Alligator mississippiensis: one gene and its partners. The protein of the gene in region 3 purifies or fractionates together with the protein of the main gene of each other region. This does not show direct contact. Links are inferred from orthologs where the notes say so. Each region holds a gene or a part of one and is shown on either strand. Other genes may lie near its edges.

Region 1 (10,505 bases), on a different chromosome or scaffold from region 3:
TCCCCTGCCTGGGAAGGGGGCAAGCTGTTAAGTAACAGTTAATAACTGCTGAAAAGCAGAGGCAATCAAAGACCTGGGGGGCTGGGTGGGGGGAAAGAGGGTACCTGCCCTCAGAGAATGCCCTCCCTTCTCCATCCTAACAATCAACTGATTCATATTCACACACAGTGGGAAATCTCCTTGTTCTCCCCAGCAGAACAGCCTCATTCCTTACACATCTCTGGGCTGACCTGGAAGAGTACAGCGAGGGGGGGGAGCACTCAGCCACTGCAGCCAGGATCTGGGAGCCTTGAAGCAGGGCCACAGCAGCCTGTTCCACCCTGTACTGATTCAGAGTGACCAAGAGCAGTGAAGAGGGAGGCAGGGGCATTCTGCTGAGATGGCAAGGCCCCTAAGCCCTGCTGTTGTGGCCAAGTAGCTTGCCTCAACCCACTTTGCTCCAGGTCAGCTGGGCAGCAAAGGGAAGCCAAAGGGGCCAGAAGGTGGAAGCTGGGCTGGGGAAAGGCCAGGAACCAGGCATGCAGAAGCTTTCCCCAGCCCAGCTCCAAGTGCACCCTTGCTGCCCCAAGACTCAACTAAATGGTGGGACAGAGATTTCAAAGCCAGCAGGTGGAATTAGGGTTAAGTTTTTCCTATCTGCAGAGATGCAACCCAAGTCAGATTCCCTAGACATGAATCGCTGCAAATCAGGAAATTCTTGGAACTCTCACATGGGGAATGTCTTGACAAACGGGGGACCTGGGCAGGCACTTTTGGGCTTCGAGGGCATGCTCCTGCATAACCCTGGAACAGGAATTCTCAGGCATGCAGGAATAGGTCCCTAAAGCCCTGGGCTGCCCATGCACTCCCACCTCAAAGCAAACAGATGTCCCCAGCAAAACAGCAGCATAAATTCATACCACCTACTGTCACGACCATAGATTTTCAGCATTTGTGGATAAGAGGCATGAACATTTATTGTCTTGGCCCTTTTACAGCATAAACATTTTTATGATGGCACAAAGGCGATGTCCATTTCCAGCCACAGTGCACAAAATTTAAGAACATGCTTAAGTTTTTGCAAGATCCTTGGGATTCAGTTTCATTTCCAGTATTTGTTGCAAAGTTTATCCGTTCTCTATTCTTTTGCTCAGGCAGGTAGAGTTTTGCTCATGAATTGGCAAAAAAATCCCTGAAAAAAAATTCCAACTACTAAATCTGTTTTATTTACTGATGTTTATATTGATTACAAAGCACTCATCTTGGGCACACTTACTTATAATGAGCCAAAATTACTTCTCTGACCATTTTACAGAGTTCTGAAATTTTTTTAAATTCCTAATTTCTTGATGATTTTCTGTGCTTTCGCAAGATTTTCAAATAATATTTTTTCTGCATTTTCCAGCCAGCTGTACTGGGCATTCAGTTTTTATTCCTAATACTAACATGCTAAGCTGTAAAATGCAACCAAGGTTCAAACCTGCAAACACCTGCACATATCCTCGACCTAGATTTTAAGGTCCAGGAGGGACCATTATAATAGTCTGACCTCCTTTGTAATATAAACTAGAGAACCACACCCAGTAATTTCTGCCTTGAGCCAGTAACTTATGGTTTCAGCCACCACATGATTTATAAGCCTTCCAGGTAACAGAGAAAGTACAGTTCTTAGGCTGTTCCAGCAGTCAAATATCTGCTCCTTCCCCCAACTCATTTCTAGTCTAGTTTTAAGCCTTCAATCACAGGATCCCATGATGCCTTCTGCTAAACTAAATCTCTACTAGCAAAAATTCTTTGTACATACTCATAGACCATGATCAAACCATTTCCTCTCTAGGGTAAAGTAACTATTTGAGCTTTTTCAGTTTAGCCCATAAGGCCTGACCTTTTTTTCCACAACTTGATTCACTCTTTCAGCTTTTTCCTGAAGCAAGCCCAATTTCCAAGATCCTCTTGAGGGGCTGACAATGCAAATTAATCCAGTAAAGGCTTTGCTAATTCTGTATTCAGTTATGATACCTACACCTCTATTTCTACTTGGCATGCCCCTGCTGCTATATCCAAAAATCAGATTTGCCTTTTAAACAACACTGAATGCGCACTCCAAGTGCAATCAGTTATCAGCCATAACCCTATATATTATCCTTTTGCAGTTCACCATTTTCCTCTCATATGTATGACCTACATATTCATTCCCACATGTTCTGATGACCTTGCCTTTGTCTCCATATTAACGTTTTTCCAACTGAAAACCTTAGTGATCCATGTCAACCTGCATAACTGACCCAATCCCATCATTCTTGGCATTTCTCCAGTTTGATCTGGAAATTTTAGATCTTTAATAGCTCAGAGAGCTCACCAGCCAATTCTTTTAATACTCTCGTGTGCAAGTTATACATCCCTGCCTATTTAAAAGTGTATATTTAAATATACTTCTTCCTCTTGGTAACTAAGTGTTAACATTCTTCTCCAGTAGCAAACACATAAAATCACTTAGTTTTAGTTCGTTCCCAACACATTTAAAGAATGCCTTTTTATTGTCCTTAACCCTTTTAGTGGTAGTTTTTTCATACCTTTACCTTCCTTATAAATTGTGGCCCAAAAACTTTATAAAACCATCTAAGTTCCAACCCTCCCATCAATAAATTCAGTAACAATGCAAAGATTAACATTAAAACACTATTTTTTTGTAATATAGCACTAATAGAGGCATATCCTTAGAGGATAGCACCTGCCACTATGGTGGGTTAGGCTTTAGGCAGAAACCAAGGAGGAGATTTTGGTATCAGTTTCGAAGCACTGAACAAATTTACAAAGGGACTTAGGACTGGTGGTTCTGAATGTTGTCATTCCTCAATTTCAGGCACCAGTGCCCAAAATAGATTTCACATGCCAAAGTTAGCATGCATTGCCCAGTACAATGCACAGGGAGAGATAGATGCTTAAGAATACGCTGAGCAGGAGGGATGCTTAAGCCATTCAGATGGGATGGGGGTGGTGAGGGAAGAGGAGAAGTAGTGGCAGGCTGCAGCTGAAAGTTGCCCAGCCCCCATGCAGTTCTTCCTTGCTTAGCTTCAGCACACAGATGCAGGCATAGGCAAAGCTCTAAGACTTTGTGGACAAGATCCAGTGGCTCCACTGACCAGATCTGGCTCATGGCCATTTGTTGCCCATCCCTGGGTGAAATCATGGTTTCAGTGCTGTCAAAGGCAAAATTCCCACTGACTTCAGAGACCAAGACTAAGTCTTAGATATCTTTTGCACAGTTTCAAAAAGCAATTCAAAAGATACAAAATGCTGGCTACCATTTCCAGATATCAGATACACATTGAACAAAAAAAAAACAAACAAACACAACAGAGCAGTCCTTCACTAATTAATTTTACCATAGACAAAGCAGTTAGAAAGAGTGGAGCTTTTTACAGCATCCTCTTTATATACTCTCCTAGGCTACCACATCTGTCAACGCAGCTTTCTTTGCATCACAGGCTGCTGCCCCCATATATCAACAAAGAGACTGACATGTTGGATCATTTCTTGCTATTATATAATCATTGTTAGTTGATATCATGCAGGTGGAGGTCAATGCACAGTACTTCCCATTCCCCACCCCAACCTACCGCAAATTACACTGGCCTCATGCTGATGAAATTCCACTGGCTTTGGTACAAATCAGGAAGGGCTGCACAGGTGCGACAGCGGCATCAGAGCTAGTCTCCTCCAGTTTCTCCTATCATTATTACCATGGTAACACAGTATACCAAGTTTTTTTGGTGGGATCTCTCTTTTTTGGCATAACTGCTGTACTTGAACCAAGAAAGCTCAGAATGACAAGAATGTTGGCTTCCTCCCAAGTACAGCACACGAAAGAATATTCTACTCTTTTTCAGTTATAAATTCCTTAGCGACAGTAAATAGCAAGACCATTTGTGAAAGTCCTATTTCATTACATTTTCAGGAGCAGCCAAGCAACAGCCAAAAGATCCCCCCCCGAAGTATTACTGATGCTGTACTAAGATGCCAGGAAAACAGCATTTATCATCATGCCCTGACAATACCACTGTTAGACCAAACTGTTGACTTAATATTGTAGCAGAAGACAACTGTGTATCAACTGACTCTATGTCCAAGACAGTGTTCGTTGCACCCTCTAGCCGTTAACAATCCCAACAACTAAGAAGCGTCCACTTGAATTTTAAAATCCTCCACTGGAAATTTCACTGAGCTTTAGGCTATAAATTAAGCTGGTGCCTGGCAATAGCCCCAAAACAATCCAATGGCTGGTTTTTCCATGCATCATAAAACTGCATTGATTCCTTTTAAAATAAGCAATAGTCTCTTTTCATTCTTTCAGAGGGAGAAAGAACCCCAAATCTGTAACAGTTATTATTATTATTATTATTAAAGGAATACTAAAAAGGAAGAATAAGGACAAGGGGTTGAAATACTGGAGGGATCTTTGGCAAGTCGGCAGGATGCAAAGCCCTGGTTCTTAAAGAAAAGGTTGCCTGAAGTTAGGCTCATTTATGGGCCTAACTAACTGGCTTTAGTTTTGCTCCCTATTCTGGAAAATATACTCCGAGTACCTCGACACAGCCGTCCTCGCATTCCCAACCTTTTGATTCCATCCACCTAAACCCGTGTATCCCTAGAGCAAAAAAAATTCCCAGAGCATATCCCTAAATTATTTTATTTTATTTTTGCCCCCAAGATTTTTGTTAGTTTAGACAGGGAAAAAATATGGCCAGGTACATCCTCGCCTACATTCGCTTGCCGGGAGAGGATTCAGGGCTGCACGACTGAAGGGACGTCTGTGCAAACCTGCCTGGACGTGGATGTGTTTTTGTAAAAAAAACAACCACTGCCCCCTCAGAGCTGACGGGAGCCCGTCACAAGAAAATAAATGCAAGCGGGCAGGGGGCTCCCTGCAGCGAGGGAAGTCCCGGCTCGCCTGAGGTGCCGGGGCGCGGGGCAGGAGCAGCAGCACGAGAAGCGGCCCCGGGCCGGCAGCGTCGTGCGGGGCAGCCGCGGGGCCCGCACTCACCCCCCCCGCCCGCACAGAACAATGGGGCGGGCGAAGCCCCCAGCTCAGCCCCGCGTCCCCCCTGCCCGGCCCCGGCCCCGGCCCCGGCCTCGGTTACCGCTGCTTCCGCGTCCTCCTGGCCGCCAGAGCCGGGCTCGGCGCTCGCTCCCTCCGTCGCCATCTTCCCGCTGTAACGGCCCCGGCGCGGAGCCGAGTGGCAGCCGCCGCCGCCGCCGCCGCAGCCCGGCGCTTAACCCCGTCGCTGCCGGCGGGCGCGGGCGGGGCCGGGTGGGACGGGGCGGGGCTGGCAGGCGGGCGGGGCCGGTGGCAGCCCGGGGCTCCCCAGCGGCCGCCTGCCCGCGCCGCCGTGAGCTGCGGGGCCCCGCGGGGTTTGCCGGGCGCGGGGGCCGGGGAGCCGCCCTCGCCCCCGGGCTGCCGCAGCGCTCGCGGCTCGAGCCAGGGGTTTCCGACAGGAATCCGCAGCCCCGCGGAGCTGCCGGGCCGGGCCCTGCCGCGGGGCAGCGCCTCTATTGTTTCTCCGCAGTCCGACCCCCCCAAGAGCCGGGCTTTTCAGAGGATGCGCCAGTCATGGGGGTGCCTCGGCTCTCACGAGGAGCCGGCACCTAAGGGATCAAAAGGCGCCTGGATGCGGGCCCTGCCCTGCCCTGCCTAGGCAGGGGCGGCTGACACGTGGCTGCGGGGCTGGGCTGGGCCTTGGCACCACAGGCGTCTCACAGGGTTGAGAAGCGCTGGATGAGGATGCATGTAAGTCCTTTAAAAAAACCCAGCAGCATCTCCGCCTTCTCCATCCGCTCCAAACCTCTGAGTATCTGATGTGGCTGCGGGAAGGAGCCCTGCGGCACAGGTGCCCCCACCTGGGAAGACCAGGTGGGTTGCCTTTGCCATCACTGGGAGCAGGGCCAGGCCAGCCGTGAGGCAAACTAGGTGGTCATCCAGGGTGCCAAAATGAAATCCAGAACAAAACAACAGGAACGCCGTTCTGAATCACAGAAACCGAAAGCACAAAAAGCAAAGTTTTATTTTGTAATGTTCATGAGGACTGTCTTTTAATTGTACATGTAATATAGTAAATCCTATTAGAGTTTTTGCAGTATAGTTGTGTTAGGGTTAATGAAAAGTGTGAAAACCAATTAAAAATGTTTTTATTGTTTTATTGTTCATTTTGAATATCAAACAAGTACATATAAAGGTTCATTCCAGACTTCTTATTTTCCTCTGTGTTGGAGGTGGTGGGGGCACCGGGGTACACAGTTCACCTAAGGCACCAATTACCCTTGGACCGGCTTGCCTGGGACTATGATTTCACCCCTGTGTTGGCACCATATGTCCATGAGCCAGGTCCAGCCAGTGGAGACATTGGGTTAGTACCACAGAGCCCTGGCTCATGTAGTTCCCTCAGGATCCAAGAAGTCCAGTGCCATTGCTCCTCTTTAGAGCAGGATTCATTCTCTGGCTGACTGTCACATACTACACATTATTATTAATTGTTATTTATCATAGAATCATAGAAAATTAGGGCTGGAAGGGTCCTCAGGAGTTCATCTCATCCAACCCCCTGCTCAAAGCAGAACCAACCTCAACTATATTAGTATGCAAACCCCTAAGTGTACGTGTGCCTTTGTCATAGAGGACATCTACCAAACATGCTATGTTAAAAAGCTCCCAAGTATGTGCAATATGTAACAGTTTATTTGCCCTGTTCTAAACCAGCCGCATTTAGATCACAACCTTACCATACCCAGCAACAGAGCTCTCAAGTACACTGTGCGACTGCATGCATTATTCTCCCACATCCAACCAAAGCCACACAGCACAGAAGGTGGGCTAACTATCATTGTTGACCAACAGTGCTCCACCGCCCTTTCAGCTCTGCTCACATTCAGTACGTGCTTCCAGTCTGTGTGGTAATGCATGCTGAGCTGCACAATATGTTTGAGGGTGCTATTGCCAGGCATAGTAGGTTTGCAGTCTAGACATGACCCTTGAAGAATCCCAAAAGCTCAAAGACCCACGCCAAATAAAAACCTTAACATCTGTGCACTGTCATGTTTAACCCTTCTAGATCAGGTCCCAATCAATGAGACTGGTTTGTCAGCATTCTGCGTCTTACCAACCGGTATTTAAATACCAGCTCTGCTAGTTTTCCCCTGTCCCAGAATTCACTAACACTTTCCTCTGTCCCTGGAATTGAGGCGTAAAGTCGACAAGATCCTCTTCTGACATTTTTTAACAAGAAGTGGCGCAGGGGCGCACAGGTTACTGCTCTTTCCACTGTTGGAGATTCCTGGTTTCTTACTACTATGATTCTATCATCTCCTGCCATACTTGCTAAATTCTCTCTCTTCAGGTTATTAAAAAGCATCCAGTCAGCATGGTACCTAGATGCTAGTTATTTTAACTCCATATTTCTAGTACATTTCCATCACAGTTCCATAGCCAAGACTGCACAATTTATCTCTCATGCTGCCAAGATCATGCAATTTTGAGGTGTAGATGATGTTTTCTTTTATCAGTTACTGGAGGAAAATTTATCAAAATAACAATGAATATCAGATTAGTCATAGCTCACCAGGTGAGCCTTGAGAACTGATCTCTCTCATCTGAAGATAAATTTAGAAATGATGTTGGAAAGGGAGGAAAAGCAACTCTCAAGTCTCAGCCAGAAAAAAAATAAATAAGAAGATAGCTGGACCAGCAAGACTTCAACTAAAATCCTGCCTCTTGACAGCTAATATCTGGCACATCACCCAAGCATTGGAAATGGCTTAATCTGCTGTTGTGACAGAAGCACTTAGTTCTGAAGCAGCAAAGAGCTGTATTTTTGTCATGCCAATAAATTAATCAGTGCAAAATTTTAAAAATATTGTTGATCAGCTTAACCATTCTACACCCTACTGGATCTCTGCATTGTTCAACCCTTTTGCTGATGTGACAACAACAATGCCTAATCCATTTAGTGATGGCACCCCAGCATTTAAATCTATACTGGGAATTATTGACCATTATTGGGAGCAGGAAGGGGTGTGGTGGCAGAGAATGGATTAAAGTATTTTACTACAGTTGCAGAACTGCAAATATAAATTCTACCCTGGACTAGTGCCAGCTGAGCGACAGACTGAGCTGTAAATGGGTCATTTGGCCTAGGGTTTCAAATGTGACAAGGCAATATGCTAGTCATATTGTTTGCAGTTAGCTACAGAAACAGGTGAGATGTGGCCTTGCTATTCCTCTGTGCTGCTAGGTTCAGGATTTTTGCTCCCTCTCCTCCCTTTTTTGACTGGGCTGGGCTCCTGTGCTGTGCAGTTGTTGTGGCTTCTTTGTCAGTGCTATCCACTGTATTTATGAATCTCTGCATTTCTGCCAGTTAAAGAACTCCCTTTTTTCCAGAATCCCCACTATTCTAGAAATTGTGTGTTCCTTGATTGCTAAGATCATGCTACCACACTAAGTTATATTCATTCCCCAGCTGTTGCAGCTATCCCATAGACATCCCTGCAGCTTTATGCCACAGACATCCCTGAAGACTTTGGACATGTGATCCTGAAGGGTTTCATACCTGATACAGGAAGGTCAGAGAAGGGAGGCTTTGGTTTGATGACTGTTCCTCCATGATTATACCTGATGTTACTTGTTCCATGTGGTCCTAGTCCAGGTGCCTGTTCTGGGCTGATGTGGAATAAAATAGTCATTGCTGTGCCCATGTTAAAGAGAAAGTACACTCTTCACCACATACCCATGCTAGGGCCTTTCTAACAGGAGAAACTACCTGTGTTGGCACAAGTGGTTCATTTTATAAAATTAGTGAGGCAAAGGAGTTGCTTTGCTTGGGGGAGGAAACTTGCTCTTTTACTACTGAAATGTAGCTTACAGGCTGGAGAGAATTAACTCCCTCACTGCTGCAACTTCTGCTGAGCCCAACTGATGGAGAAAAAGTTGTCATTTATGTCAAGAAAGTCATTTCTCTGCTAGGACTAGGACCTATACCTAAGATTTAAATTTGTTCTTTCCCTGTGGTTATACAATTGTCACAGTAGGGTTTGGTCCATCACTTTCAGGATGCAGTTGTTGTGCAGGATAATGTTCATTTTATCTATTACCAAGCAAATTGCCACAATAGAAAAGAGTATTTGCTTTGATTGCACAAAAACAGGGAAGAAGTTACTGGGGAAATCAAACCATCCTGGACAAGGTGGATCCTAATGCTGACAGCTTCAATTAGATATCTACAGTTACAAAAGTGATATTTTACCGATGTTTTAAAAAAAATCCGGTCGGATCTGGGAGCAAGGAGGAGAAATTGTAGCCCAAAGAAGATTTTTACAGAAAGTTAAATGCCAAAAGCCTGGTTTACTGAAAATGCCTCCTCAGTCATCATAATTATAATATAGCAAAGCCATTCCAAAGCATCCACCTCTTTGCTGGTACAGGTAATGTCTGCCATCTCTTTTATTCAAGATTTACCATGCTAAGTCATATAGCAGTTCATATGATACCCCCCATATAAACAATTTCAGAGAGCTCAGGAATATCCGAGTTATCTCAGGAATACCATTGAACAAAGTCAGAAGATTTTGGGAAACAAACCAATCACTGGAAAGTTATGTAAGGTAGCAAGTTTGGGTTTTGCATTGAGGCTGAAGAGAGCATACTGGATTTATTTCTGTCTCACTAGATGAGAAATAAGGTACAGGTTCATCAGGCTAGAGACTGTTAAACTAGGATCAAAAGGGAGAACAAATAGGCATTCTGTTAGCACAAAAATCAAGATGTCAGGAACGAAATTAATCAAGGTACCAAGGGACACAGAAGAAATTATTTAATTGACTATGTACTAATGCTAGGAACCTGGATAATAAACAAGAAGAATTGGAATTGTTCATTTATGAGCATAACTTCAATCTAGCATGTATTACTGAATCCTGGTGGGAAGATTCATTCGCATGACTGGAATGTTAAAATCACTGCTTATACTCTATTTAGAAAGAATTGAGTGGGCAAAAGGAGAGGGGGAGTGGCACTCTATGTCAAAAATAGCACTGCCAGTGTCAGAGTCAGTGACAACTCAGAAACTAATGATCTTGAAAGTTTATGGATCAATGTTCTAAAAGATAAAGCACAGGATGGAGTACCAGCTGGTGTCTACTGCAGCCCACTAAATCACACTAGGGAACAGGAAGACGGGCTCCATAAGCACTTCTCTATAATGGGTAGGGGGAAAACTCTCATTATCACAGGGGACTTCACTCTGAGTGACATACATTGAAGATCTCATTCTGCCAATACTGCAACATTCTGAAAGCCTCCAAAAATTATAGATGACAATTTCCTAACACAAAAAAGTTTTGTTTTGTTTTGTTTTTTGCACCCAGCACAGAAGATTCTAATTTGGATCTGTATCTGAACAGATAAAATGGAAATGTTAGATCCAAAAAGAGACGCAGATGCCTAGAGCTAAGCGTTTGCAATATCAGACCCTGGGATC
Region 2 (10,505 bases), on a different chromosome or scaffold from region 3:
GCTGCAGGTGCTACTCCATGTTAAGGGAAGAACCCAGAACAAGATAGAAAAAATTCTCCTACCAGCTGCCTGTTGTGATTACAGGCATCTCCAAATACAAACAGCATAATTAATGAGGAGTTGGTTTGGTGCCTACTTAGCAAAACTGCATTTAAAAATTAACTTTTTCTTTTATAGTTACTATGCATTTTATTTCTTCCTTTTTTTTTTGTCATTGTCCAAGCTAAACCTGGGGTTTCAGGATATGTACCAAAGAAAAGAACTGTTGCGTCTTGAATATCATCCATATTTACAATTACCTAATGCTGATAGTTATAAAAATTCATTACAGTTTTTTAGAATCTTATTTAATTGTTTCACAATAGCAGGTAACTGACTTGGTTTTTTTTTTTCCTAAGTAGCATGAATATCTAATCTACTGAAGATTAAAGTCTCCCTCTTCACTGTTCTAATAATAATTTGGCCATTATTTGATACTGTTTGACCACTAACCTGACCTAGTATTTTTTACCTGTCAAATCAAATACCCCATCCTGCCAGTTTATATCATTTGATGAAAGGACTCAACAAAACGATTAACAGGGGAAAAATAATGTTCATGCGCTACTAATCAATATTATCCACAAAAGAAGTACATTTAAAGTAATTCATTTAGGTTAGAAAGTCAAGTCTTCCTGAGTCAGGAAATACCAGACTAATAGTAGCCCAGGTGAAAGTAATGCACGCAACTGGAGATAAAATTAAAGATACTGTGCTAACCATTAACCTGGCATGGTTGGTTTGACAACCTTAAAAATCTCCCAACCAGTAGTACATGAACCCTCTTCCTTTAGCACTACAGCAGAGACTTCAACTATTTAGGCTTCAGGACCAACCACATCTACTGTGGGCAAGAACGGGCTGATGGGTTTGGGATGTAGCTTAAGGGAGCACACCTTTGATCTGTTCCTCAACCTCACCCAAGCACAGGGACTTTCTGGCAGTAGATAACATCCCAGACAGCAACTGGGTTTTTCCAATATTGCAGAACATGGTGCTGCTGCTGCAGGAGAGCGAGTCCAGCATTTCCGAAGAGTCAGTATCCATTTATTTTGGCATGCTTACAAATTTTCCTAAGCATCAAAAGTGAGAAACAAAATGGCGCTTCAACAGCTTCTCAGCAAAGACTGAACAAGATTTCACGAGCCAAAGACTGCAGCTATATGCAAAACTTTGCACAGCTTTAATTATATTAGGTGGAAACCAATATACTAAAAGCAACACAAACCTCTAGGATAGATGCAACTTTTTCTAGTGAAAAATTTAGGCAATGTAAATATAGAGGAAAGGCCTAGTTTTATGCTTACGCTATGGGCCTGGGCATAAACAGAAACCATCAAGTTATAAGAAAATTTATTCACTGGCCTTTTTTACTGCAAAAGAGTTAAAAAAAATAAATAAAAATAAATCTAAAAAAAAAAAAAATCACTCAAGGCTTGTGAAATCTCATTTCAAGTACATATTTTTTTTTAAAAATCTAATCAATATGTTGGTGCTCCTATCTCAGGACTGATGCTCCACAATTGCTTTGGATAAGCTCCAACAATTACAGTATTAACTCTGCAGCAGTTGCTCTGGTTGGTACCTCCGCAGGGAAATCTGTATCAGCCAGCAGTAACTTCTCATGCCTAGAACCCCTTTTATTCCAGGGTTTAAAAAAAAAAAAAAAAAAAAAAACTCAGCAAAAAGCTTCTGCACATCAATAGCTTACAACAGGGCATGTACTCTGGATGGGTTTTTGGGTGCATAACTGTTCTGTTGTGCAAAAACCCAAAAGCAAAGGTGTTCTATCTATACAAAAAACAATAAAAGGTGATTATTTGTCAAGTATTTCCAAGTACAGAGAGGAAACCTGAAAACCAATCTTAGTCCCCCTCTTTTAGTTAGTGATTCCATTGTTACTTTTAATAGTAGATTACTTTCTTAAAATAGAAGTTCAACTTTCAATTAGACACTTCCCTTTAAAGCCATTTTTACTTTACTTACTCTCAAGAGGTCTCCCCCAAAAACATGCTCCCATTTTTGCACCTTACCTTTATTGTTAGTACTGTTTGGTCTTACAAAAATTAGCTTCTTTGAACAGGGAACTTTTTCAGACCTGTTTAAAGGACCCTATTCTCAGTATAGCACACATTTCAACAAGCATCATGTCATTTTTAACAGTCACTTAGTGCTGTGCATGAAGCAGCCACATTGACAGTGAACTACTCATTCCATGTAAGCCTCGGTACCTCAGATCACAGTGTCAAATCTTACTCATTTCTCATAATTTTCTCCATTACATTGTACTTTAAAAATATCGCCTAAGCTCTTATAAAAAGATAAGAGTTGACAAGGTTCAGACAAATTTTCAATCATGTTGAACAATAAAACAAAAGTGATATACTTTTAAGTTTACATTACGGATGGGTTAATAAAATATTCCTGGGCAATAAAGACTGATTTAAAAAGTTGGCTTTGGCAACACGTTTGCCTGCAGATGTTAGCAACATGCTTTGATTCCACTGCTGTTTTTGTTTGTATTCTGCAAACACTGCAGGTTTAAGAGTAAGGACTTGTAAACAGAGCTGTGTATTTTTGTGATTTATTATAGAAGGAAGCTAAGGATTTTCTCTCTCCACTTGTTTTCCTACTGCATTTTCCCTACAATGTTTTATATCTTCTGCATTGTAACACCAATAAAACTATATTGCCTGACAAAGCATATCTTTCCTCCCTTCCCAACCACCACTTCATCCTCTTTGGAATTTACTTTTCATACAGAGATTCAGACAGACATAGAAACGCAATACTCCCCTGGAGCCAAAGAGTTCAAGCCTCCCTTCTCTGCTATACAACCATGCCTCAAACCTGTTTCAGAACAGCTTCATCAGGGAAATAGAAGGTAATGAATTTTCTAACCCAATTCATTCCTCCATATAGGCTGGAAGTGCCTGCAAGTTTAATATTTGTGATGATGGGTTTATGAGGGAGACCCCTGTCCAAGTTAGAGGCCCAGCAATCATAGCAAATGAAAGATGGAGGCATCAGATGGACTTGGGCTGATTCAAACCAGCAACTTAGCTTTTTTCATGTTTATTCTGTATGTTGAAAGCTCATGTTTTACTTGCATTGGTAAGTCTAAAGCTAACTGCACTAGACTAAAACAACAGAGCTGCTTATCTTTTAAGCTCTCCCAACACTTAGCTGATTTGCCCACCATCAAAGCCTCCCTGTGAATGAAATGAACCTTGCGTAAAAAAGGGCATCTTTATTCATATCACAAGAGTGTTAAGCAGCTTAATTAAGTTTGTAAAGCACCGAGAAGCTCAGGCAGAAAGCAGAATAAAATTGGAATGCATCTGTCAAAAATGCTGGACTACACCAGATAGTTTAGGTTACTGCATCCAACTTATTATTTCAAACAAGAAAAACTGCATATTAGCTCACACTTGAAAGCATCCCAGGTCTTTAAACTGACGTTATAACCTAAACGGCTTATATGCAATGCATCAAGCATGCATCTCTTCTACAGCATCACATGGAATCATAACGCGTCAAATAAAATAGCAAAACAAATAATAGGTTAATGAGCAATTATGCCCAAGTAATCTACAAGTCATGCCCCAACCCAACCTAATAAAGTTAAACTCATGTCCTGTCCCATCATGCCTATGTATTGCATAACATATAGTAGTTAACATCTGAAGCTTTAAGAATTGTCAGGGTATCGCACTGGTCCTCATGCTGTGTCATGATAATAAAGAAAACAAACAAAAAGAAAAAACCGGGTGCAGCAGCTTATTCAGGGTATTCTGTTAGAATACAAAGCAATAAAAAGAGTAATTAATAGAGGAACACATAAAGACAGTCATCAGACAACTGAATTAGATTACAGTATGTAAAGTATCACACCCATTTTATATCCATTTTTCAAAATGTTTCATGCTTTTTAGTACATATTTTTGAGAGGACTGAAGATTTTGAGGGGAAAGAAAACAGCTCTCACTACTAGTTAGCAGTTTAAATATTTTGTTTGACAGGTTAAGCAAAGTGATTTTGCCTGTTCCAGTTCAGACCCTAGTGGACATAAACAAGTATTACAAAGCTCTTAAACTTCCATTTAGTGCTAGCTGCTGTCCTCTTTCGAGAGGACTGTGGCCAGGTTAACACCACATCAGCATATTTTAATTCCAGTTCACGAGCAATGATAGCAGATAATCCAAACCTTAAACTACAATGCTCCTGCTAGTGATACTGTGACTATCAGCTTGGAGTATTAAAATATATTGTTCAAAAGTTGATAGCATAAATTGGCAGAATACCAGAGTAATACATTTTTTTTCCTTCGCTATTTTCCTTTTGGCATGACAGCTGCTCAAAATTAAGAGTTATTCTTCTGAGCATATGAATACCAGATATATATTTAAGTATTAGGAAAAAAATACATGCCGATACATCCATTTTAACACAGCACTGGGGCGAGATGCCAGTTCCACCAGAATAACAATAACTATTCATGGTTACCATGATGAGCATTTATTTACCTTACTTCAGGTTTTATAACTCAGTTCCTTGAGTTATATAAAATACTCCTCCCTGAAAGTCATGCATCCCCAGAAATGAGAAGTGATCATGGGAAGATCCACCAGCTTCCTCTACTACTTAATGCATTTCACAAACCCTGCTCTCAGTTTTTTTTGCCTTTAGTAGAGTTTAAGTTAACTAAAACCCCAAAACCCTAGCCGCAGCATAAACTTAGTTTGCAACCAAGTTCAAGGAAAAACACAAGTCGCTCACAATGTACAGTGACTTGCTGAAAATAACCTGTCATATATTATTTTCCTCTCCAGGAGAGCAAAAATGGCCTTACCTTGCCTGTCTTGTGGTCAAACCAGACAAGTGCATGGTTCCTGGACAGCACCTTGCAGTCAAAAGTAGCATTATTCTGAGCTGGCCGACAGCGGGCCACTGAGCGGCCAATTTTGACGGGCTCGTCCAGGTAGACATGGCGCTCCTGAAACGGGTGAGAGTTCGGGCGGCAAGCGAAGATGGCCAAGGCTGAAGGCATCGAGGACAGATTGCGGTTGTCACAACAACCAGGGAGGAAGAGAATCTCTTCTGATGCAGGCTACCCTCCACAATTTTTAACCCAAATCTCCAGAAACTTTACATGAACGCAAGACAAACATCACTTGCACCCAGCGAGGCCTAACAACGCACAGTTTCAGTGTGTAAACTAATCCTGGCAATAATCCAGTGAAAAAGCCCCATCATGTCCACGAAGAAGATCAGCAGTGCCTCAAGCGACGCCCAGAAGACGCAGCTTTCAATCCATCCTCTTCGGAGCAGACAGGAACAACCATGGGGCTCCTCCGAAGAGGAGTGCGCTCCTTTGAACGAAGCAAGGGAGATCTTTAAAGCCAAGCTGATGAGTCACACGCCAAGACTTCTGTTTGGGATGGATGCAGGCTACCTCCCCCTCGATTTTTCCCCCACCCCCTTCCGTAAACAAGGCTGACTGGACACCCACAATGTGGGAGCGAGGAAAGGCGTGAAGGAGGAGCCGGGGAAGGGCACGGCGCAGCGTCCAGGCACACGGCGAACGAAGCCTTCAAGGGGCAGGTGGCTTAGCTGGTCCCCGCGACCTGCCGCATCCCGCCGCCCTCATCCCTGGAGAGGAGCCAGTGGTCCAAGATTGGGGGGGGCGACGCGGCTGCTCCTGCCCGGGCCGGGGGCCGGCGGGGGGCGCGGAGCGAGGCCGCCTCCGCGGTTCCCGGGCGCGGGGCGGCGCTCAGGGGCCCCGCAGGTGGCTGCGCATCCGGGTGGCGCCCGCTCCTGCGGCCTGGAGACCGGGCCGGGTCTCGCTCAGGCGGCCGCCGACGCCGAAAACTTTCCTCCGACCTGCAAAGCCAAAGAAACGGCGTCAGAGTCGCCCGGCCCGGCCCGTGCGGGCGCCGCAGCGCTCCCCGCCCTTCTTACCTTCCCCGCTGCAGCCGCCATAGTGACTGCAAACCTACCCGGTGCGGCGGCGGCGGCAGCGGCCGGGAGGCGGGTGATGGCGGGGGAAGGGGGGGCAGCCGGGGGAGGGAGGAGCCGCTCGCACCGGGCCTGACCAAAGGGAAGGCCCCGCGCCCGCCTCCCACTTTCTGCGCAGGCGCGGGTTCGGCAGGGCGCAGGCGCGGGATTGTAGCGCCTGCGCGCTGAGTGCCGTGAAGCGGCGCTGGAGGTGGTGCCCGCACTTGCGGGCTGCGCTTCCGGGTGTTCCATGCGGCGGCGACGGGCCGCAGGTGCGGGGCGCGTGGAGGGGAGGAGGTGCCGACAGCCTCAGCTCGCTGCGAGCCGGTGGGGCCCGGGGCCGCTCTCCCACGTGGGGTCGGGGAGGGTGCTTCTCGTTGTAACTAAACCGGCGGACAGTGCAGCGGTGTTTGCTGCCCCCCCCCCCCGGGTTTTCCTGCCCCCCCCCCGGGTTTTCCTGCCCCGGCCTCGGCTCGGAGGTTCTTCTCTGCGCGGCTGCGAGGCGTGTCTCACTTTCGCAAGGCATTCGCCTATCTATTCGGCTGGGTCTTAACCCAATTAAAGTCCCAGATTGCAAGAGAGCGAGACGTGGGAAGGATAATTGCAGAGGCAGGGCTGAGCAGAGGACAGGAGAGGACAAAAAAAAAAAAGAGTTAGGTATCCACTGTGCAATGCCCGCCTCTTACTCAGCATTTTCCGTCGGTAGATTATAAAGCAGGTCCGTATGTATTTTTATTTTACAAAGAGGGGGAATTGAGGCCAAAGAGATTTGCTCAAAATCAAGTAAAATGCAGTGGTGGAACTGGTCTCTCGAGTACTAGTTCAATGTGGCCCTTGGCCATTCAGTCTCCTTGAGGCTCGCTGGCAGTTTGAGCGATACAGATAAAAAATGAAGTCTGGCCATCAGATAAGATCACCCTTTGACACAGTATGCAGAGGAGGGTAGTTAGGGATACAGCCCTGAGAGATGGAAGTGGAGGTCAGGCAGGAAAAATAAGAACAACGAATGAAGAGAGAGAGGCCGGCCGTGAACAATCAATGAGAGAGACTGGAATTGTGAAAAGTGCCAGAAGCCCAAGAGGAAGGAAGAGTGGTGGATAACTGTGTCAAGGGTAACAAAGGTCAAAGCAGAATGAAAACATAGGACATGGCAGAAAGAGAAGTCTTAGGGGAGGGAAGAGACTAAAAGCCAGGTGGCACTGAATCAATTACGGTGTTGGAAGCAGGGAAGTGATATCTAAGATGAGAAACGACTGCATAATTTTGAAGGCAAAAAGGGAAAAGTGATAGAGGGGTAACTGTACAAGAGGTATGAAACTATGGTAGTGATTTTCAAACTTCAAGACATTGCACTGTTTCCAAAACTCAAAAGCATATGGCATATCACCTACAAATTGGTATATTTAAAATAGAGGCTTATTTTGCTGACATATCTCAAATTTATCTGATTGTGACCCAGAACCCACAATCAGAAAATAAGTTTATTTAATGAGTGTCATTACGTAGGCTGTTTGTAGCAAGTCATGGGGAAAAGGAATCTTATAAAAGGATTAGGGACACGGTGAGCGAAATTCAAATGTTACAGCAAATGGATTGGATAAACAGATTGACTTACTAGAAATACATTCAGACATTTTGAAGGTGGGGAGAATAGAAAAGGAGATGGTAGAAAAATGTATGCTCATGGGGCAAAGGATAGGACAGAATTCCTGTGAGAACAAATCCTTTTAAATATTTGGAAGGATCTTGGATTGATTGATTGAAAGGAAAGAGGGTTTGATGATGAGACTCAAGGGGAAAAAACATCAGAGAAAAAAATTATACTCTGTGGGAGCGGGGAATAAAATGATTAGAGGACAGCAGAAATAGAGAAATAACATCTTCTGATCACTCACTGTATGTAGGTTTTACAATTACAGTTTTTTAAAACCAAACACACACGGTGTTGTCTTATAGTCTACATATTTTCCTTTTTACTTCAGTTCTTATTTAACAAACTGGAGAAAGTGGGGGTGCAAAACAGCTTCTGGGGTCTTTGATACCTTTCAAAGTGTCCCTCTGACCAGCAAAAGGAACAGGTGGCTAGGCATCTGTAATGGGCTCTGGTGCAGAATTTGCAACTGTAGACTAATTGCCAGGAGTAAAGATGACTTACAAGTACATGCTCAGTTCAGGCAAACTGTCATTTGCCACAGAGCCTAAGAGGTGAAATTTGACAACCATGTTAGATAAGGGCAGGAAGATCACATTCAGTGGCCATCATAGTTAAGGGCAGAAAGTCTATAAGTGTTATATATGACAGCCATCATTGTTTAGGGCAAAGACAATTGTCAGTAGCCATTTTGGATAAGGGAATGAAGGGCAAATCACCTTTACCCTTCTAGGGGAGATGACGCCTGCCAGACTTGTGGAATGCAGCATCTTTGAGTCATGTGCATACCTGCCTAACGTTAGGACTTTGGCCTGAATGTCTGGAATGTTTCTTAGGTCCTGCAGGGTGCTCAACATTTAAAGAACTTTTATTGCAGGGACACAGCCATAAATTCAAACTTAACTAGGATCATTTGGGGAAAAAATTGGAACAGCACTGTGGACTAGGTGATCAAAAAAATCAAAATAAATAACAGGATATATCAAGTATAGAAATTATCACTTGGCACTTTGTATATATGGCAGAGGAATGATACTTACCCTGTCCTTTTCAAGTTAGTACATGGAAATGTGCTGTCAGCTATATCCTGCCTAGATGCGAGTGGGCATCTTGAGTGGGAATTCCAGGAAAAAGTTTCACTATAGAAAAGTTCTGGAGTCTCTGGTATAAGGAACAGGATGGGAAATGATATTGGAAAATATTATGTTGCTGTTAGATGAGCCAGTAGTACACAGAATAATGTGTTCATTTTTTGTCATTCTATATCAAATAAAATAGAGCAGGACCATGACTATAGGGAACAGAGACATTCCAGAGAGACTATTTCCAGGAAATTAAACAGAGGCAATTGAGAGACTTCCAAATGACAAGAGACTGGAGAGATTGAAGAGACTGGGATTCATGTTGCCTCTAAGTCTAAAAGGCCCCAGTAAAACACACCTTCACTTGTGTCAGTAGGGCCTGCCTGCTGTACCTGGGAAACTGCATCCCTTCTAGCATTCTGCTTTCCAAACAATTAAAACAACCATGGGCAGATATATAATTTGAAAAGGGGGTGCTGATGGTGAGGTGCATCATCCCACATATTTTTCTCTAGTTAAAAATAAATTAGAAGCTTTACTAATATGTCGAATAACTTGTAATAACTGTATTATTCAGTTTAAGATTCAAGAAAAATATAAGTAACTTATATTCAAATGTAAGTTGGAGTGAGTTAAAAACTATCTCAGAGCTGTGAAACAGGAGCTTTATTACAGGAGCAGCAACTAACAGATGGTGGAATTGCAGAACAAACAATAACCTGATGAGTGGAATATCCAGACCTTTGTATCGGCACCAATGTAAAGAAAGTTGATTGCGTCAGAAATTGGCCTGATGTGGCCGATAATTTGGCCAATAAATTAATAGATTAATAGACCATAAGGCTGAAAGGGACCTCAGAAGTTCATTGGGTCCAGCCCTCTGCACCAAGCAGGGAAGACAATTGGGATCAGGTGACCTCAGCAATGTGCCTGTCCGGTCTTTTGAAGATCTCCAGTGTAGGCGATTGCACCACCTCTGGAGAGAGCTTATTCCACAGTCTGGACACCCTAGTTCTGAAGTAGTTTTTCTTAATGTTGAGCCTGAAATAGTCTTCCAGAAGTTTGTGACCATTACTTGTAGTTTTCCCCAAAGGTGCCCTGGTGAACAGTTGTTCACCGAGCCCTTGACATATGCCTCTGATGTAACTGTAAGCTGCTACCAAGTCCCTTCTCAGCCTTCTTTTTTCCAGGCTGAAGAGTTCCAGATCCCTCAGCCTTTCCTCATATGGCTTGCTGTGCAAGTCTCTCATCATACGGGTGGCCCTTCTCTGGACTCACTCAAGCTTTAGCGTGTCCTTGTTAAAGTGTGGTGCCCAGAACTGGACGCACTATTCCAGCTGTGGTCTCACCAGTGCCGAGTAGAGTGGGAAAATCACTTCTTTGGTTGTGCTGGAGGTATATAATGTCAACCTACATGCCACAACGCAGCAGCATGAAGAGCTGCATCCAGCTGGTAAGTCTGTTGTGGTGGAAGGAAGGGGTGTGGTGGGGGGGCAGAGCAACACCCTCCCAGGGGGAGGGAGGGAGGGAGTGGGCAACACCTGCCCCTGCTCCATTGGGGCAGGGCATGGGATGGAGCCATGGCTCGTCTGTGGGGCACGGAGGAGGGAGGGGCTTTCCCCACTGTGTGCACCCTGGGAGGGTATGGGGGGCTTGTGCCCCTGGATCTGCACAGGGTGCAGGCAAGTTGGGCTGCGGTCGTGGGCCGGGGCTGCTCCAGGCTCTTCCCAGGACAT
Region 3 (10,505 bases):
TTTTTCATGTTATCATGATTTGACAGAAGCTGGAGTGTCTACATTGATGATTGCTAATGAATTATTTTGTTACTTAATCCCTGGGTGTGTCAGTATTTGGGAAAGAAATGAGAACCAGGGATTTCAAAACAAAGATGTTGATGGAGCTTCAGATTAATAATACATGACATTGATTTTCTCATCCATAAATAGATACAACTGACTAATGGTGTGCACTCATTATTCCTTCCCCCACGTCTTTCTCCAAAACAAGGATGTCCTTTACTTCCCTTTCTTGAACGCAGCCCCTGTGATGCACTTTCTGGCTGTTTGTAACAGTTCACTAAACCAGCATAGGCACTGGCCCATTTCTGGCCAGGGTACCTGGTACCTTCCTCCTTCCCCTCACACATGCTAGGCAGTGTACAGTACACCCTAAGCGCAGGAATGGCTATGGGGCCATTCACATCCAAACAGGTTTGTGGGCAGCACCATGTTGCCTTCAGTCACATGTTCCACTACCATCCTGCCACTCACCAGTTTGCAATAACTGCTGCTCTACTGGGTCTTCTAGAATATGGTTTGGACATCATAAGTCCGGACAGCAAGGGATGGGCCAATTCTCCTAAAGTGATCGTGGATGTAGACTCCTCCTTAATATCCAGATTACTGGGAGGAATCAAGTTCCTGCTATCCAAGTATGTAAACATCAGCTCCTTGAGAAAGTTATTGTGCTTGAAATTCCATCTGCAATCAATTAGGCCTATTTAATGAGCCATCTGTATCTTTCAAATATCTGAAGAGCAGTCTTCAAATATCTGAAGGGCTCCATAAAAAAGAGGAAAAGCATCTCTTCTCTCTTGCTTCAGAGTAGGATGCAGATCATTGGCTTGAAGTTGCAGTGAAGTAGGTTATTTATCAGGAAAAAACTTCTTCACTGTTAAAGCAGTGAAGTAGCAAAATAGACTGTCTTGGCAAGCTGTGGAACCTCCATCATTGGAGGTGGTCAAGAAGAGGTTTGATAAACATCAGATACTTGCTACACTTGTATTCTGCTATTGGTATTTCCCATGCTTCTGGGCTTTGCTGGCTGCCATATGGGGCTGGGAAGGAATTTTTTCCCCTCCTGCTGCTACATGCATCAGGATTTTTTCTGTCTCCCTCAGAAACTGGGGATTTTGAGTGGGGTGTGCCAGTGCTCCTTCTGGGACTTAAAACCAGAGGTTCCTAGCTAGAGGATCTTTCCCTTGCCTCAGAGTCAGACTGATCACCATGTTTGGGGTCAGGAAGGATATGTAGCCCTATGGTTATATTGGCATGGACTGTGGTGGTTTTTGTTTTCTTCTGTAGTTGAGTGTGTGCCCACTATCTTGGTTCTCTCAAGTGTGTTTTAATAACCTTTGCAGCAGCAAGATGCTGGCTGCTGTGGTCCTTCTACTTTACCTGTGGCAGGTTAGGGTGTTATTTCTCGTAATTGTGCCAGGTTTGACTGTGTAATTTTGCTAATAGGTGAGACAATGGATTTTAATGGGATGGTTGGATAGGAATGATCCTGCCTCACGAAGGGTGATGGACTAATATCCCTGCTTTTCTATGAGTCTATGATTCTGGCTGCTATATTCATGAGCATCTTGTGGGAGCAGACAAGAGTCACATGTGCCATGACTGGCCCCAGTCCAGTTCAAAAAGCCCATCGTCTCAAAGCCAGCTGCTATTTTGGGATGTTAGCAATTGCCACCCCATGTGCATGAATCAACAGTAATTGCCTCACAAACCTTCAAAGTTATGTCACTGAGATTTGCAAACATTAAACTGGTTACCATTAGTCTGCAGAAGTTTGAGGTAGCCAGCTTCCAGATAATAAAAGTAATTTTTCTGATCTGATATTACCTCTCATCTGCATACCTATATGCCACTGAAGAGCTGGGTCAAGATCTGGAGTCACGGCTGTTCTGCATCAGAATGTAGCCCTACCTCTCTCTGCCTGTGGTCCTGCTCCAGAATTGCTGGCCAACACTGTGGGATCCCATAGCATTTAGAGTGGGTGCTCTAACCCAAAAAACAACCACCTAAGTCACCTGGGGGCTGAAGACTTACTGTATGTCAGTCCTACAAAACAATTCTTTGATGATTTTCCCCACAGCCATAACCACCTCCACCTCACCATCTTCATAATTCTGTGCACAGGAACAGCAGAAGGATTACTGACAAGATTAATGAGACAGTTTGTTGGGATACACTCCCAATGTACTCATTTAATGTAAGCATATGTGTGTGTGAGAGAGACAGAAAAAGAAAGAGAACCATTACCATTTTGGTTAACACCAGGGACTCAACAGGCACAGTTGAAACATGAGTCTTTAGAACACACTACAGCTGGGTCAGTAACTAACTCACATCTACTGTGGACTGGATAGACATATAACACACACTGATGAATAGCTTACACATGTGCAGAGCCCTCCCACATTGCTGCACAGCTGGGGCCCAGGTGCTTTTTCTTCCCATACCCTAGCAATTGGCTTTCATATCTGGATACTTGCTTTATTTACTTATTTATTCCAAAGTTTTAATGCTGTTGCACTTTTCTGGTTCCCCCGAAGCAAGGGACTAGGTGTGTCCTGGATACAGCTGTCATGTTTCATGGGGCTGGCCCTACACGTATCACCAACCAGCCCAACCTGCCCCAGAACTGGAAGGCAAAGTGTGGAGTTAATCTGGGTATTTGTAAGGTGTGGCTCTTTGTCTAAAGCTTCTCAACTGAAAGGCATCACGTCTGAACTCAAAAGTGCTGCCTCTCTCTACACACTCTCATGGCTGCCAAAACCACAGACATTTGCAACGCCAGTTGTTGTTTTCACTTCTCTTCCTTTAGGCCAGTGATTGTCAACCAGGGTGTTGCAGCACCTGGGGGTGCCTTGATATCCTTTGAGGGGTGCCATGCAATGTCAGCGCTGTTAGGTGTACAAACATGATTCACAAGGTAAACCCAGAGATTTCAAATAGGAATCCATAGTGTCCAAACTATTTTGACCTGTTGTGGTCTTTCTAAATTCTTTGCAGCAGCAGAATTGCTTTATTTTTCTATAGTTACTAAATGACTGAAAACTAAGAGCGGGCATTTTCCAAGGGCTGCCTTGAGATTATTAGGGGGTGCATTGAAACTGAAATGGTTGCAAACCACTGCTTTAGGCACTGGCCTTTTAAGTGTAACAAAGTGGCAGGTCGGGAAGGTGCTAACCTCAGGCTGCAGCTTCCTAGTTTAGATCTTTGTTGCAATCCAGGGACTTGTTTCACAACTGGGCCACTTTTGCCATGGCTTTTAGCAAGCATGGTAAGGTAGCACCAGCAAACAAAATGGCCATTTGGAAAAACCTGTGTGTACAGGTACCTGCAACTGGGCCTGTTTGATGGAGAGATGTCTGTTTTACTAGTTAGAAAGAGTCCAAGTCAGATTTGAAAGGTGACCTGAGCACAGGATTTCAGATGGGTTTGTTTGATGTGCGTGGTAATTTCTTCAGGAAGTATCTTTTCCAACTTGTTCCTTTTTTTTTTCTAAGAAATAACATGAAGTCATGTGTACTCTGCTCTGCTTCATTGGATGAAGGATGCTCATGATGAGCAATTGGCTTGTCTATGGAAAGGTAAGAAGGCGATCTTCAACAAAGGCTTCTTTACTCAAAACCATAGTCAGAGAGGTAATAATGGGGGGGGAAAAAAACAATTAGCAAAATGTGTCATCTAGTTTGTTTAAAACCAGTCTCTCCCTCTATTATCTACCTTGTCTTCCCCTTGATCTGATGGTGCTATTGTTGGCACTGGCCCTGTCACCCTGCCAGCTTCAGCCATGACAGGACCTGGATTCCCAGAGTAAAACCAAGCAGGGAAAAGAATAATGCTGTAGAAAACCTCTGGGGTCTACTGCACTGGACTTCAAAGAGCCTCCCCAAGGCATCCCCTTCAAAATGATGCTGCTCTTGCACACAAGTGTGTCCTTAGTGGTGCCCACGTGATAGCCTAAACGTAGAGGCTTGTATGTATGCGTATATGTCTGTGTCATATATGTGTATGTGTGTGCGTATATATGTGGCAATGGAGACGTGTGTGCATGTGCCTGTATATGTATGCGTGCGTGTATATGCATATATATATGTGTGTGTGTGTGTGTGTGTGTGTGCATGAGTATGCGTGCAAATAAGTGAGTGTGTGTGCGTACAGACAGAGCGCGGACTGGCCCGTCCAGTCCCCTCCGGGCACACGGAGAACCTCGCTCCCTCCTGGGAGCCGGCCGCGGTGGTCCAGGACACGGTGGGTGGGGCAGCCCGGGGCCCGCTGGGGCTTGTGGTTCCAGCCGTCTGCGCCGCGGGCCTACATGCCCCAGCATGCCCCGCGCGCGCCCCGGGGCCTGCCGGCTGCCGTAGTCCCCGCGCGCGTCAGCCCCGGCCGGGAACTGCCGCTCCCAGGAGGCCGCGCGGCCGGGGCCGCCCTCGCGCCGCGCCACTGCCTGCCCCGCCCCGCCCCGCCCCCGCGAGCGCGGCGTCCCCAGGCGGTCCCGCAGCGCCCGCTGCCTGCGCACGAGCCGGTCCCGCACCGCCATGGGGCGCGCACCTCAACGGGCCCCCCGGCCCTAGGGCGGGTGGGCGGGCGGGTAGGGGCAACGGCTGCTGCGGGGCGGGGCGGGACGCTGGGCCGGGCTGGGGGCACTGGGAGCGCCCCTGGAGGTCGTGGGGAGGCGCTGGGCAGGCTGGGACGGGGCTGACAGCAGCCCGGGGGTGTGCAGGGCCGGCCAGGCTGGTGTTGGCTCTCCGGAGGCCCCAGAGGGTGTGTGGTTGGGAGGCGGCGGCAGCCCCTGGCCTGGTGCGGGCACGAGCGGGGTGGGGGGCGCTCGCTGGCAGCCAGGTGGGCACGGGGCACCTGGAGTAGAGCAGCTGCGTTCTTGCCTCTCCCAGCTCATCCGCGGAGGAGCTAGCATTGCCCCTGGGCTGTGCCGCACGCCTCCCGCTGCCTGGCTTGGTGGAAGTGGATGTCTGACCAGCCTGGGGACATGGCTCACCTGAGGGAATTTGCCAACCAGGTAAGGATCTGCCCCTGAGAGCAGGTGACAAACCCTGAAGCAAACCCCCTCTGGTTTGGGAGCCAAGCCGTTGTTGTGCCTCTGCCCCCTGTGCTCTCAGCCTGGCTTCTCTTTCCCAAGGGACTGCTGTTGTACCCCTGGCAGGCCTGGCTTTGACATGCTGCAAGGTTGCTGCTTCAGGAGAGGAAGGAAAGAGGAGGCTTGCACAGGTGCACTTTCTCTCTCGAAATATAACGTGGGTCTCTTTGAGAGAGGTGGGAGTCGCTGACGTTCCCAATATTTGGGGGCAAACGGGGTAAGAATTCCAGGCCGTGAAGCAGACGTGTAGGGGAGCAGGGACTCTCCATCCCTGGAGGTGATCAAGAAAAGGTTGAACAGCCCCCGACCAGGGAAGATGCAGGTGTAGCGATGCCTGTGTTCTACTATGGGGATTTCCCAGGCATCTGAGCTTTGCAGGTTGCCACTGCCTGCCTTTCCTGCTACATGTGTAAGGGTGTTTTTAAGCCTTCCTCAGAGGCATTAGGTGTTGGCTACAGCCAAGGCTGGGGATATTGATCAAGGTGTGCCAGTGCTCCTGCTGGGACCAAAGGCAAAGGTTTCTGGCTTGGGAGTCCTGTCCCTTTGCTCAGGGTCAGACCAGTCACCATATTTGGGGTCAAGAGGGAACATTACCCCATGGTCAGATTGGTGGGGACTGTAGGGGTTTTTGCCTTTCTCTGTAGCAGGGGGCATGGCCCTCTTCCCTGGGATTTCTTGAGCATATATTGACAACCTTTCATAGAAGTAGGATGTCAGCTGCCCTGGTTCCCCTGCTTTACCTGTGGCAGGTTAGGTTGTTAGGTCAGTGTTGTGTCAGAGCTGAAGGCAGTCTTATGTAGAGTTTAGATTATGGTTTCTATGGGATAGTTTGGATAGGGAGGATCCTGCCTCAGGCAGACAGTTGGACTAGATGACCTCTGGAGGTCCCTCCCAGCTACTTCCTCATGATTCGATGAAGAAATATGTCCAAAAAAAGAACTGCAGGCTACCACTGTACATGAGCAACCTTCGTAGTGGACAGTTGGGGCTGGTGGATTGAGCTAAGCATGGGAGAGGGGCAAGGAGCTTCCCTGGTTGGTTCTGAATAGGTAACTGTCCTATAAAATACATATATTGGCATTGGTGAACAGTGTTATCACTGTGATAATGTTTTTTCCCAATTGGACTTAAAGGGGTGATTCTGTGGTAGGGGCCAGAGAACTGATCTTGGCATGAATCCTTCAGCCAGAGCTTCACTGCTGGTACCTTGGAACTTGTTCACTGTTGTGGACTGAAATATCCAAGAGCTCCCCCTCCCTTTGCCCACCTGAATTTCTCTTCCTTATTAGAAGTAAATGTGCATGCATTGTTGTCCCTTACTTTAGGTGATCTGTAAGCAGAATTGGTGTGAGAGTGTTGTAAATGATCTCTAAATTGGATGCCTCTTCCCCGCAGAAGGAGGGCATAGCTGGCATCTTGTTCCTTCCCACATTTTTCTGCCAAATTTGCAAATGCTGTAGCTATCGAGATCTAGAGCAGTGGTTCTCAATCTTTTGCACCTTATGTCCCACCAGTCATTTTGTCAAAAAAACCCTGGTCCCACCATAATAAAAACAAAACCCCACTGTTTGAGAGATCCATTGATTCATCTATTTGAAGTGCAAACAACTTTGATTTTTTTCAATTGGGTAATGAGTTGAAGTCCCACCCACATGACCTTTGCGTCCCACCAGTTGAGAAACACTGATTTAGAGCTCTTCTTCTGGCATATTTTACATTAAACTTCTTTCAGGCATTCTGCATTCCCAAGTGTGGGGTTGAGTACTTAAATGTGGAAGCTTTTGGCTGTGGCTATCTTTTGCCTGGATCCATTAAACTTTCTTACTGGTTTTAAATTAGTTTGCCATGTGACTTATTTTGCTGTGCAGCACCAACTGTTCCCTAAATGCTGTACAGAATTAAAGACAATAATATGTCTTGAGCTAGTTGTAGCAGAGGGAGAGAATTGGAGACAGCAGAGAGGATCTGTTTAGTTACAGCTGAAAAATGGTGCATTGATGAAGCAGTTTAATGCAGGAGCTGCAAGAGGAGGGCTGCTAGAAGTAGGTAATGAGTAGGTAAGGGAACAAGGCAGAAGGAAGGTAAGGAGACAAGAAGGGTAACTTGGAGCCAGAGTGAATAGAGGGGACAGCTGCTTGTGATGGATGGGTGTCTTCACCAAAAAATAATTTCTTTGGTTGCAGCAAGCTTTTTGTCAGTGAATATTGGGTGTAAGGTTACCAGTGCCAACCATGGCTACCTTCTTGTTGTTATCCACAAGGGCATTCTCAGCCTTCTCCTTACCACGACCTCTAGTTGCAACAAAAGCCTTTCCTTTCCTTCTACCAGCTAATCTTAAAGAGGAAAGTTATTTGACAGGTGTCTTGTGTTGTTCTTCTTCCACCCCCCACCTCCTCCTTCCTCCAGGGGCTGACCACAAGCCTCAGGTTATAAATTGGCTTCTATGTACGTGGGGGGCTTTGGAAGAGGAGTAGGAATTGTTCACAGACTGCCTGTGGGGGAGGGAGGGGTTCTATTCCCAGTTCTACTGACCTGCTGGGACCTTGGGCACATCATTCCCCTTCTCTGTGTCCTTGCTTTCCCTCCTGCCTGCAGTCTTGGGCAGGGATTATTCCTTGCTGCATTTAGATGGCACAGGGGGAGCCCCAGGCTCTGTTCTTGTTATGCGAGTAACTTTTGGCTTCAAGCTCAGCTATGCGTTTGCTTCCAGCTTTTGTTGCAGGCTTCTTCTGCGACCTTGACAAAGTCTTTCAAACTTTCTGTGGCTTAGTAATACTTCATGACATCCTTGCAGTGTCCTGAGAGCTGATGCAAGTATGGCACTTGGGGAGTCCTGGCTAGACAATTAAAGAAACACAAAGCCTTGTTGCCATGGGAATTGCCTTTTTTATTTGGGATTGTAGAAGTGCAAAGCCCTTGCTCTGGCTCAGCAGACAACAGAAAAACCATGAGCTAGTGAGGTAGTGACCAGCAAACTTGCAGGTGTTTCCATGTGACAGGATCACTTTCACTGAGGAAAGCAGGGCAGTTGCTGCAGAAATGTCTGGGAGAGGCCCAAAGGGTTAATATGTAACATGGAGAATTGCTTGAGGGAAGGAAACACTAAAGGGAGGTCAGAACTGCTGCAATCTCTTTAAGGTTGAGGCCCTTCTAGCTGGGTGTGTAGCACTGGGAAGCTCTGCATATTTATCTCAGTACTGAGAAATTACCTGAGTGAAAAGCTTTATAGGGGGGAAAAATGAATATTGGAGCTGTGAAGCCAGCTGTTTATGCTATGGCATGTAGCACAAGCCATAGTGACTCTCAAAATATTTTCCCCCCAATCAAGAAGGTTCTAACCCTTGGCATAGCCCTGCAGTTCTCACCTTTTTTAGGGGCAGGGTGGCTGTGACCCCTGCATCCTGTTTGTGGCCCAGCCCCATGTTGAAAACCCCAGGTTTCTGGCTGGAGGCAAGCACCTCTTGGTGCCTTCATAACAGAGCCCTGGGGGAGACAGCACAGGTGAACTGCAGAGAAGCAGGGGTGAAGCAGGGTGAGTGCACACTGCCAACCAGCTCATCTGTGCCTCATGCTCCAGGCAGTGATTGAATCCTGCCGAGCGAGTGGGATCTTTCCCTTTTCCCCTGACCCCCTCCCAGAACAGGACTTAACGGTGTCACCTCTAGAGCTGCCCACCTCAGCAGCAGCGCTGCCAAGTCTGGAGTGCTCACAGCTGCCAGGCTGGCTCCGAACATGCCATTCCTCTTAACCCCCAGTGCCAGCTGAGAATTGCTTTGCTTTAAAACATTATCTCTTTGTGCATGATAGGGCATTTCCTGACAGCCATTGTGATGGGATGCCTCTCCCACAGCTAGCAAGGTGGGGTTGAGGGGAGCAGAGCCTGCGATGCAGCCTAATGTTCCTTCTTCCTCCTTTCCCACATAGAGTATTGTTTCCCACCCCCAGCCCAACTTCGTTTGTTTCTTTAGCTCTGAGTGGCTTGGCAGAGCAGTTCAGCACAGGAGAAATGCTGGAATTGCCTGAGTCCCTCTCTTACTGCAGAGCCTGTGCAATGAATGTTCAGCCAAGCACATAGATATGATTGGGCAGACATCACGTAAGAGCTGTGTAATAGAACAGAGAGCAGCAGGTCAGCTGGTTCTCCTCCCCGCCATGCTTGGGGCTCTGCTTTGCAGTTGCTGCAGGCTTGGCATTAGCAGAAGCGAACAGAAAAGGGTTCTAATGTGAATGGCAGCTGCAGAGCATGGCAGGTGCTAATGAATGTACACTTAGGCTCTGATGGGTCCACTCCCTCTAGGTGCCTTACCTGGGGTGAAGGATTCCACTTTCAGTGCCCCATGACTGTTTGTCTGATCTGTGTATAAGGGTGTGGGGTGGGGGTCACTCTAATTGTAAAGCCTGTACTGGAACCAAAGCAATTCCTAAGCAGTGAGAATAGGCTGTGAACTAGACAGTATCCAGGATGAGGATGCTGGTTGTCCTCTACATGCCATCTCTCAGCAGTGCATAATCATGTGCCAAAACTCGCCTGTCGGCCGACTGGACTGCTCGCTCCCCTCAGTGAGCATTTCCTCTTCACTGTGCAGGTGTCCGAATTGACCTCAGGAAACCTTGCTGGGTTTCTGTGGCCTCACTTTGCCTTAGACGGGATTGCAAGCACCCATCTTTGCTCAGTTTGTATGTTGTTCTGTTCATGCTGTCTGTGCCAAGGCCGTGTTTCCCCTGATCCTTCCGTACTTAGGTGGGACAAAGGCCTTGGTGATGCCTGGTCTGGCCTTCACTGTGAGCATGCTCATGGTCTCCAGCAGGCATTTCCTGGGGAGTGTGACTTTTGGGTTGGGCCTTTGCTTTTTGCATCATTGGGCAGAGTAATTCACTCACAGGGCTTGGCTCAGTCAGGGGCTTGTAATGTTTTTAACAAGCTTGTGTAGGCAAAGCTTGTGGTCAGCCCATCCAGAGGCCCTTTCTGTTGTCCCTGCCTCAAAGAGGACCTTGAAGAATTTACAGCCCCCAGTTCTCCACAAAACCTGATGGGGTTGAGCCTTGAGGCTCTCAATCTGTGCTGGGACAGCTGCAAACGCTGGAGTTTCTCATTCTAAGTGCCAGCTTCCCTTTCATGGGATAGGACCAGTCTCTCATGCAGTCTGTCCAAGCGTCTTGGCCATCACTAACCACATGGGTGGTTTTGGCTGCTCTGCACCCTACCGCTCGCCCAAGTCACTGCTGTGCTGGGAGCTGCCTCATATTACTGTACCCAATTGCATCCGCATGTCCCCAGATGGCCTTCCCAACAGCTAGCCTTGTTTGCTTGGCACGCTGTCCCTGCCACCACTCTGCCCTCCACTGTCATTGCTGAAGGACCCAGAGGTTGCTG

The links.
Region 1: the proteins of STK25 (region 3) and CTTNBP2 purify together in Homo sapiens (affinity purification with mass spectrometry; 3 studies listed by BioGRID and IntAct, with this or other methods). This does not show direct contact. The link is inferred for Alligator mississippiensis from reciprocal best matches to the Homo sapiens genes STK25 and CTTNBP2.
Region 2: the proteins of STK25 (region 3) and SLMAP purify together in Homo sapiens (affinity purification with mass spectrometry; 5 studies listed by BioGRID and IntAct, with this or other methods). This does not show direct contact. The link is inferred for Alligator mississippiensis from reciprocal best matches to the Homo sapiens genes STK25 and SLMAP.

The regions. Positions count from the first base shown.
Region 1 is NC_081827.1:48,419,575-48,430,079, reverse strand, and holds the start of CTTNBP2 (cortactin-binding protein 2), read right to left. Parts: upstream 5,292-10,505; 5' UTR 5,184-5,291; coding exon 5,121-5,183; intron 1-5,120. UniProt on the Homo sapiens protein: Regulates the dendritic spine distribution of CTTN/cortactin in hippocampal neurons, and thus controls dendritic spinogenesis and dendritic spine maintenance.
Region 2 is NC_081835.1:20,911,026-20,921,530, forward strand, and holds the start of SLMAP (sarcolemmal membrane-associated protein), read right to left. Parts: upstream 6,119-10,505; 5' UTR 6,039-6,118; exon of another isoform or gene 5,923-6,038; 5' UTR 5,090-5,922; coding exon 4,892-5,089; intron 1-4,891. UniProt on the Homo sapiens protein: Associates with the striatin-interacting phosphatase and kinase (STRIPAK) core complex, forming the extended (SIKE1:SLMAP)STRIPAK complex.
Region 3 is NC_081830.1:37,263,165-37,273,669, forward strand, and holds the start of STK25 (serine/threonine-protein kinase 25), read left to right. Parts: upstream 1-4,501; 5' UTR 4,502-4,627; intron 4,628-4,928; 5' UTR 4,929-5,002; coding exon 5,003-5,053; intron 5,054-10,505. UniProt on the Homo sapiens protein: Oxidant stress-activated serine/threonine kinase that may play a role in the response to environmental stress.